Saccharomyces cerevisiae S288C: one gene and its partner. The protein of the gene in region 1 binds, or shares a complex with, the protein of each later gene. Each region holds a gene or a part of one and is shown on either strand. Other genes may lie near its edges. A codon is read from its position in the direction of its gene.

Region 1 (2,759 bases):
TTTTGGCGGCCGGCGATAATGTTCTTCACTTGGTATTCTTACCAGGATTGAGCCTGATTTTGTTTTGTCTTATTCTTTGCGATGTCTTCATTTTCTACAAAACCTCTAATTTCTCCGGCAATGGCCCTTGAAACGTCTTCAAAGACTTCAAATGTCACGGTGGGGGTTCTTTTATCTTTAACTAATCGATGAAGAGTTATTAGAATGGTTCTAAACTTATTTTTCAATTTTATTAACACCCTCTCAAATTCCATCACACTTTCATCATCGTTATTCATTTTCAAACCTTTCATTAAAGTACGAATGGTATGTATATTCTTTTCTAGTGTTGGACTATGCAATCCATACGATTCTATAACATCACACAAACCTTCCATTTGTCCCAGGAGCGTAAATCTTTGGAATCCCACTTGTAAACCATACTGTTTACCTTCTAGAAAGCTCTGCTTTATATTCTCATTCTGGCCCTCCAGAAAACCTTCTTGGTAATACTGTTCTTCTAGGTTTAGTAAATTATCAAAATCCATTTTTATTTGTCCAGTGATCTTTACTTTCCATTTACTCTTCAAATATGATAAGTGATTTGATTTAAACAAGTTTTTTTTCATTTTTCTTATAAAACGATTTCTCACCATGATTGAGATTTTTATATTAGTAAGATTATACTGAAAAGGCAAATGGCTACATAGCCAACAAAGAATAAAACAATAAAACAATAAAAAAAGACTTTTTTCTTCGTAAGCATCCTATTGAGAATATTAATCATTTACTTAAGTAGCTACAATACAAAATAGAGTAAAAAACTATTTCTCTTCACTTTCATTCACAATTGTTTGCCAGATCTAACTTCCTTTCCGGTTTTCTTAATCTTTTCTAAAATAAAATCGTAAGGAAGTGTAGTATATACATCTACTAATTGCTTTTCAAGGGATATATCTATTTTGGAAACGTCTGGTTCTAATTTCGTCAAAACTTTATTGACTGCACCAGAACATCCCGAGCAGGTCATGACGACATTGAATTGATAATGTTTTATCTCTGCCATCTTTTGCGCTAGTTCTCTCTTGTGTCGTTGGAAATCTCATCCTGCAATGTTTTAAGATGATTCAAGTCATTTAAGAAGCTCAAAAATGCACTACAAGATGTGCCAACTTTGCACCCCCAAAAAAAACTACCGCATCACGTGAAATTTATTAGAAAACTGAAAAAAAGACAACTTACGCATACGTAATACAAGATGTACATCTATTGCAATGATCATGTAACCTATCCTACGATTAATTATTTTTTAATCATCTAGAGCAGTGCCTCTAATTTCGTAAATATCATCAATGGCATTCCTTCGCAGGGGAGTGTCGGCAAACAATAACTCTATCCATTGGATTAGTTCGTCTGTCGCAAAAAGATAAAAATCCCCATTGTAAAACATCTCCATAATCTCCTTTAAATGTAATGGTAGAAACTTGCCCATAGTGGCGAATTTTTCTCTCATCTTTTTGTAACTTGGTTCCTTCGCTAATAATTGTATATCGGTGTTGTTCACTAATAAAGATACGAGCTCACCCAAATTTTCGGAATTGACCTCAGAGATAATCTGCCATTTTAATATTTCCTTTGTCACGCAATCGTTATATAAAAAGTTTAAGAAAGACAACAAGTAACGGGAACCTTCTTCACCTCTTATTTTCTGCAGTGGACGAACAATTTCCTTCAAGATATAAGGTAGCAGTTTCTCAATGGTGGCGTCCCACGATGGATTTCTCTCGTTCTCACGAAATTCGGTCAATTGATGCCTGATTAGTTGACAGACAATACGATATTTCATGTTCAGTTTAGTTTCCAGCAGGTTCCTTGTTAATTCTTTTATTCTATACAGCTTTTCATCTCGTTCTATTAGATATCTCATATCCACATATAATTGGCACCAATTGTGAGAAAAATTAGCTGTGCACATGGCCATATACGATGTCTGCAAAAGGTTGTATTTGTACGCAAAGTATTGCTCATCAACATGGCTATCTGCAAAGCTACTCTTGAAATTCTGTGAAATTGCCAAGAACAATTTTGGTAACTGTGTAACTTCAATGTGGTCTTTATCAAGTGATCCTACATCATGAGCTTTTAAATGTTCCTTTCCATTTTCTAGGGAAGCATCATCTATATTTTCGTCAATTGCCCAGGCTTCATCCCAGGCATTTTCTTCTTCTTCTGGTTCTTTTTCCTTCTCTTGATTTGTTTTTTCTTCCTCGTCGTCAATATTTACATCAATTTCATCACCCCATGCATCGGCATCATCATCCTCTACTTCCCAATTCCAATCATCATCTTTGGATACGGCATTATGGAGTTCTTTTTCGTTCTGTACATCTGAATCATTTTTTCCAATTTTTTCGCTCATCGTATTAGTATTGCTAGTAGTGAGCTCAACTACTTCCAAATTTTGCCAGCTCTTTTTTGGATCTTCAAATATACTTCTTATCTCACTAATATGCGATTCAAGAACTTTATCTAGTAATAAATTGTAGTATAATTGTTTGTTCATTAACAAATCCTGAATCTCTTTACCGGAATGTGTCCAATTGGTAACTTCTGATTTGGCAACTAGTCTAGTTAGTTTGTTATTTATGACAGAAACTAGATTTTTTAGCGGTGAATCAAGTGATTCTAAAATTATCGATGCATTATTTTTCACAAATTTGGTAAACTCCGTATTGAACAAGGGACCTAGCTCATAACTTAAGGTCTTTCTGTCTCTAAAG
Region 2 (5,827 bases), on another chromosome or scaffold:
CAACCAGCGGTAAATAGTGTATCGCCAGTAAAAATGCAGCGCTCATCTGTTGTTGGATCTTTCACATAATAACAGATAGAGTCTCTGGTATGGCAGGGCGTCCTAATACAAGTAATCTCTAAGTCACCTAGGTGTAACTTTTTCAAATTCTCCGGAATTATCGTAACCTTTGGGCAGTCCTTTGACCCTCCTATAACCTCAACTTTTGAAGTTGGATTTTTCTCTTTTAAATACTTCAAGATATCAGCGTTACCATCTGCATGGTCATAATGGTGATGTGTATTAACAATTGCTTCAACACTTATTTTCTCATCCTCAGTCAACTCTGGCAGAACCTCAGGAGGCTCTGCTGGATCGATTAGCCACGATTTTTTATTTTTACTGTCGGACAATAGATAGCAGTAATTAACACCACCAGACTCCCATCTCATTTTAATCGATTTAACCTGCATTTTTTGTCCTCCTTTTCTTGTGTTTTTGTGTTGTCCTGCAGTCTTCCCTTTGATATTGGTAAATCTAGCAACTTATCTAAGAATACTAAAATTTTTCTAAGAGGGATATAATGGGTTTTTAAATCGGTAAAAAAATCCTTATTACCTCCATAATATCCCTTGAAACCGACGGGTAATACGACTAGTAGACTTACTGAAAATACATAGAGTAGGAGTAAAATATATGAATTTACTAAAAAATTGATGAATATTAATTATTATTATTGTTATAAATCTATATGCTCGTGGATTTTTTTAAATAAATTAGACTTACCTGTTATTTACAAGACTTCTTCGTTTGACATTAGTCCGGCCTGTGATTCTATGTCTTGCTCACCTGCAATAGCCCGCGTAGAAAAAAGCCTTGACCAAAAATTCCCAATCGAAAATTTGGACTTGAAATCTGAAATCCCATGTGATTCAATATCCGGTGGAGTCCACTTCTTCAACATCAATGAACTTAGAACGACACTGACCGAGCTGAATGCCATCGCTAAACCGGCGAGCATTGGAGGAAGAGTTATGCCCCAAGGAATGAGCACACCCATAGCAATCGGAATCATGAATATATTATAGCAAAGTGCCCAGAACAAATTCAGCTTTATTCTTTTGAACGTTTTTAGTGAAATATCGATGGCGTTGGCCAGTCCTCTCAAACTATTAGTATTCAGATCATTACCGCACAGTATAACAATATCAGCTGCTTCAATAGCAATCTCCGTACCTGTTGAAATGGCAATACCTAGATCACTCAGTGCTAAAGCGGGAGCGTCGTTAATGCCATCGCCAACAACAGCAACCTTGTTATTACCTTCTTTATCTTGAATTTTTTTCACGAGATCACATTTGCCTGTGGGTGACACATCGCTGTAAACATTTTCGAAGCTTATACCTACTTCTCTAGCGACTCTTTTTGCTGCTGAGTTATTATCGCCAGTAATCATATACGTTTCATATCCATTTCTTTGTAGATACTGAACTGTTGCGTAAGAATCATGTTTAACTTCATCATTAATCTCGAACAAGCCAAACACATGCCCGTTTACTGATACGTATGATACAGTGTTTCCTTGGTCGACATTACTGTTAATAAATCCGGATTTTTTTAATGCATCCTCCAAAATCAGCGCCTCGTTCCCAATACAAATATCATAAGTATTTCCATTAACTTGACACTTTGAGACTATTCCCTTTCCAAGCACGTATTCGCTTTCTAAAACAACGGCATTTAAAGCCTTATTACAGTTCAAACCATCACAATAACGTATAATTGCTTTCGAAACTGGATGGTCACTAATGGATTCCGTTGCTTTTATACAGGCGAGAACTTCGTCTTCATCCACGTTTCCAACCCAATTTGAATCTTTAAGGAACTTTTTCACAACCATAAAACCTGTAGTTAAGGTACCTGTTTTATCAAAAACAAAAGTAGTAATACTATTGAATTTTTCCAATACTTCTCCGCCCTTTATTAAGACACCATTCTGAGCTCCAACCCCTGTACCCACCATTATAGCAGTCGGCGTGGCAAGTCCCAATGCACATGGGCATGCGACGATGACAACAGAAGTAGCAGTTTGTAAGCAAATAAAAAAATTATCAGCCTTAGTATTTGCGGTGAAAGCGACGGGAGGATTAGCCGAGATGTTTAAAATAAAACACCAAATAAAGAAAGTCAATACTGCCAAAATTAGGATCCCCGGAACAAAAATAGAGGCTAAATAATCTGCATACCCCTGAATGGGAGCTTTACTCAATTGTGCTTCTTTCATTACCTTGATAATATTTGCTAATTTAGTTTCCTCCCCAACGGTAGTAGTTCTGAAGTAGAAATGTCCAGGTCCATTAACAGAACCAGCAATAACCGGAAAACCAGTTTTCTTGGGCACCAAAATGGATTCGCCTGTCATTAACGACTCGTCAATTTCAGATTCACCTCTTGTTATGATGCCATCAGCAGGAATTTTCATCCCTGGTTTAATCTCCACTATATCGTTCACTTGCAATAATTCTATGGGAATTTCCTTGGTTTCATTCCGCTCCACGTCAGATATAATTGAACACACCGATGGAGTGAGCTGAATTAATTTAGAAAGTGCGGTTGATGTTTGTGATTTAGCTAAAGTTTCCAAATATTTCCCGATGGAAATATATGAAATGATCATGATTGATGTGTCGAAAACGATCCTTGGGAGTTTGCCAGTACTTGAGGGATGGAACATATTGTGAACTAAAGAAAACACAGAAAATGTGTATGCACAAGTAGTGGAAACACAAACTAGTGTATCCATGGTTCCTGAACCGTGCTTTAAAGATGCCCATGCTGCCTTGTAAAAGTAAAAACCAACGCTGAACTGAATATAGCTTGCCAATATTACACCCAAAATATCTCTGTAGAACAGACCTCTAACAAAGGAGGTTTCTTTGTAAGGGAATATGCGGTCCTGAACAATTGTTGGCCACATCATAGGGACAATCATATACAATAGCATACATATTATAGCCAAAAGGGTGGATTTTATGCTGTTTTTTTTCCAGAATCTTATCTCGTCCTCTTTAGAGAGAAGCCTTAACTGGGTAGTATTATCTAAATTGGAAAATACAGTGAATTTATATCCGGTCCTCTCAAGGTGCCTCAATAAATCTCTAATGCCGAGTTCGTTACAACAGTATTTTATGGTGAGTGTGTGCATATCATCAGAAATTTCTATCGATTTTACACCTAGGTCTAACAAAAATTGAAACCTTTCGCTTACTGAAGAAAGTATGAGTGGGGATTCGTCCTCGAAAGCCTTAGTTACTTTCAAGATCACCGTTTTTTCGGTCATGTCTGCATTCCCGTTGCCATCCATAATAATATTTGAGTCAAATCCACAGTCTTCAATCATTTCTCTGGCGGTTTCTAGCGTTGTCTTGGACGGTTCATAAATAACATGGCACTCTTCCGTTACCAAGGAAACGACTACCGATTCAACACCCTCAATGCCTTCCACTTGTTTGGTGACTGTAGAAACACAAGACCCACAGGTCATACCTTGTACACTCAGTAGTCCTTCCTTCGTACTTATGGCTGTAATTTCAGAATCTCTTAGTATCTCACAGTCAAATCCACAATCCTCTATAATTTCCTTAATAGAATCGGCGGTAACCTCGTTATCGTATGTCACCTGGCACTCATTAGTCACTAAACTAATATCACATTTTGTTACACCCTTTAAAGCTCGTAACTGCGTATTGATTGTATTAGTACAGGCGCTGCATGTCATTCCATGTACAGCAAGTATCACTTCTCTCATTTCGTTTTAAGTATTAAACACCTCAACTCCTTGGCCGCAAAATTTACGAAATATCTCAAATACCTTTGAAAAGTAGCTTAGTACCAGGCAGAATTAAAGTCTAATCCATATGTCTCAAATTTGAGAAGAAATCCATTAGTTACCGTGACTTCCCTAAATATATACAAGTGTGTGCAAAAGGTCTCGGAATCACCGGTGCAAACCCTTCGGCAGCTAATTGCACTCATCGCCGCACTGCACCCGTTCTTTTCCACTGCCCGCGAAAATCGCTACTACAAATAACTGCACCCAGGACAATACTTACACAGATCGACCTGTTTTCGAGCCAGACGGTGGCAACACAACATTCTAACGGTGCTGGCCCTCTGCAAGAGACTGTACCAACATCTGCGTATTTTTCAAGATACTAACGTTTATTGATGAGATCTGCCGAGTGAGGAATCTTGCATATTCTGAAATAACAAAGATACGTACAAGTTAAACTGTATTATTATTTACATTGCGTTTGCAGCAGCCTAAAGCCGGGGACAGTCAGAAGCCCATTATTTTATGAATGTCGGCCAGGTTTTTTGCTGCTTTTTCTCTCGCTTTGCGCATGCCAGATTCAACGACACTATGCAAATAGGTCGGTTCGTTGATATATTTCTCAAATTCTGTTCTTGGGCCTTTCAATTCCTCAATTATCACTTCTGAAACATAATCTTTGAAATCCCTATAGTTATTGAAACGAGATACATCTTCTACGACATCTTCAATCGATTTTCTTTGAATGCCACTGACAATGTTAATTAAATTCGATACGCCTGGTCTTTCTACAGGGTCGTAGTAGAACCTATCAGAAATGGAATCTGTTAAAGCTTTTCTAATCTTTTTCTGAATTGCCTTAGGCTCATCATTCAAAAAAATTACAGAGTCGTGATTCGGATCACTCTTGGACATTTTCTTTTCAGGCGTGCTTAAGCTCAAAACTTTTTTCGTTTGTGCCAACATAGTTACAGGTTTAGGAAAAAAATTTTTCTTGTACATTTTGTTAAACTTTTCAGCAAGGTGTCTTGTTAGTTCCAAATGCTGCGATTGATCATCGCCAACAGGAACGTGTGTAGATTTATAAAGTAGAATATCCGCTGCCTGTAAAACAGGATACGAAAATAAGCCCAGTCTAACTTTTCCCACGTCAGAATCGTTAACCAGATAATCCCCATTAGTTGATTGTTTGATATTCGATTTTGATTTCCATTGCGTCATGCGGTTAAGTAATCCCATCGAGGCAAGAGTAGAAAGCAACCAGTGTAATTCACTGTGTTGAGGGATGGCGGATTGGTAGATCACCGAAGCCTTTTCTGGATCTACACCGACAGCCAGTATACTTGCTACTGCCTCATGGCGAAATTTTCTAAACATTTCTCCATCTGGCTTTGGAACAGTGATAGCGTGTAAATCAGCAACTCCAAATATCAATTCCTGGCCAGGTTGTTTTAATTCACATAAGTCTGTCCAAACACGTGTAGCACCTAGATAATTACCAAGGTGGAAACACCCAGTTGGCTGAATCATACTAAATACCGTAGCATTACTATGAAGCGCTTCGGAATTCAGCTTAAAATCGGCACGTTGCACTGTGCTTATCCACCTTTTACTGATTAACTTCAGAACCGCCTGCTTATTCGACATCTTCCTTGTAAAAGATAGTGTAAATATTTATCAAAACCTGATTCACTCCTTAGTAACGTAAAACCTTTGAGATGGTGCAGGTAGCCTGTAATAAATCATAATACCCTTTTCTACTTTCTCGAAGCCGATTTTATCACGTGAAAAACAAAAAATACCTTTGCACTTCTATCTTGTTTTGTGTTGCCTTTATAAGGAGAAAAAGATCTTCAAGAAAAGGTCATACTAATTGTAGAAACGTTTGAATTTAAGGAATCTGACTCTGATGTGCATAGCAGTGTTACTACTATTTATTTTCTTGAAAAATACCATCGTGATTGCCTTCAAATAGGTCATCTAAAACTTTCTGCTCTCAGCGGGCCGTGTTTTGAA

Evidence for each region.
Region 2: the proteins of ATX1 (region 1) and CCC2 are in contact, whole or in part, in an NMR structure (PDB 2GGP), measured with the Saccharomyces cerevisiae proteins. Residues at the interface, in NP_014140.1 of Saccharomyces cerevisiae: Thr14 (codon at 1,006), Cys15 (codon at 1,003), Gly17 (codon at 997), Cys18 (codon at 994), Ala21 (codon at 985), Lys24 (codon at 976), Val25 (codon at 973), Lys28 (codon at 964), Lys59 (codon at 871), Lys61 (codon at 865), Lys62 (codon at 862), Thr63 (codon at 859), Gly64 (codon at 856), Lys65 (codon at 853); in NP_010556.1 of Saccharomyces cerevisiae: Cys13 (codon at 3,751), Ala15 (codon at 3,745), Cys16 (codon at 3,742), Thr19 (codon at 3,733), Gln23 (codon at 3,721), Glu60 (codon at 3,610), Asp61 (codon at 3,607), Cys62 (codon at 3,604), Gly63 (codon at 3,601), Phe64 (codon at 3,598), Asp65 (codon at 3,595).

What each region holds. Positions count from the first base shown.
Region 1 is NC_001146.8:156,821-159,579, forward strand, and holds ATX1 (copper metallochaperone ATX1), read right to left. Parts: upstream 1,046-2,759; coding exon 824-1,045; downstream 1-823. Other genes in the region: ribosome biosynthesis protein LTO1, read right to left, coding at 39-527; DSL1 (Dsl1p), read right to left, coding at 1,289-2,759. UniProt on the Saccharomyces cerevisiae protein: Copper homeostasis factor that specifically transports copper to the secretory pathway for incorporation into copper enzymes destined for the cell surface or extracellular milieu.
Region 2 is NC_001136.10:1,003,635-1,009,461, reverse strand, and holds CCC2 (Cu(2+)-transporting P-type ATPase CCC2), read right to left. Parts: upstream 3,788-5,827; coding exon 773-3,787; downstream 1-772. Other genes in the region: hydroxyacylglutathione hydrolase GLO2, read right to left, coding at 1-452; tryptophan--tRNA ligase MSW1, read right to left, coding at 4,319-5,458. UniProt on the Saccharomyces cerevisiae protein: Copper-transporting P-type ATPase necessary for the proper uptake of iron. Required for export of copper from cytosol into extracytosolic compartment.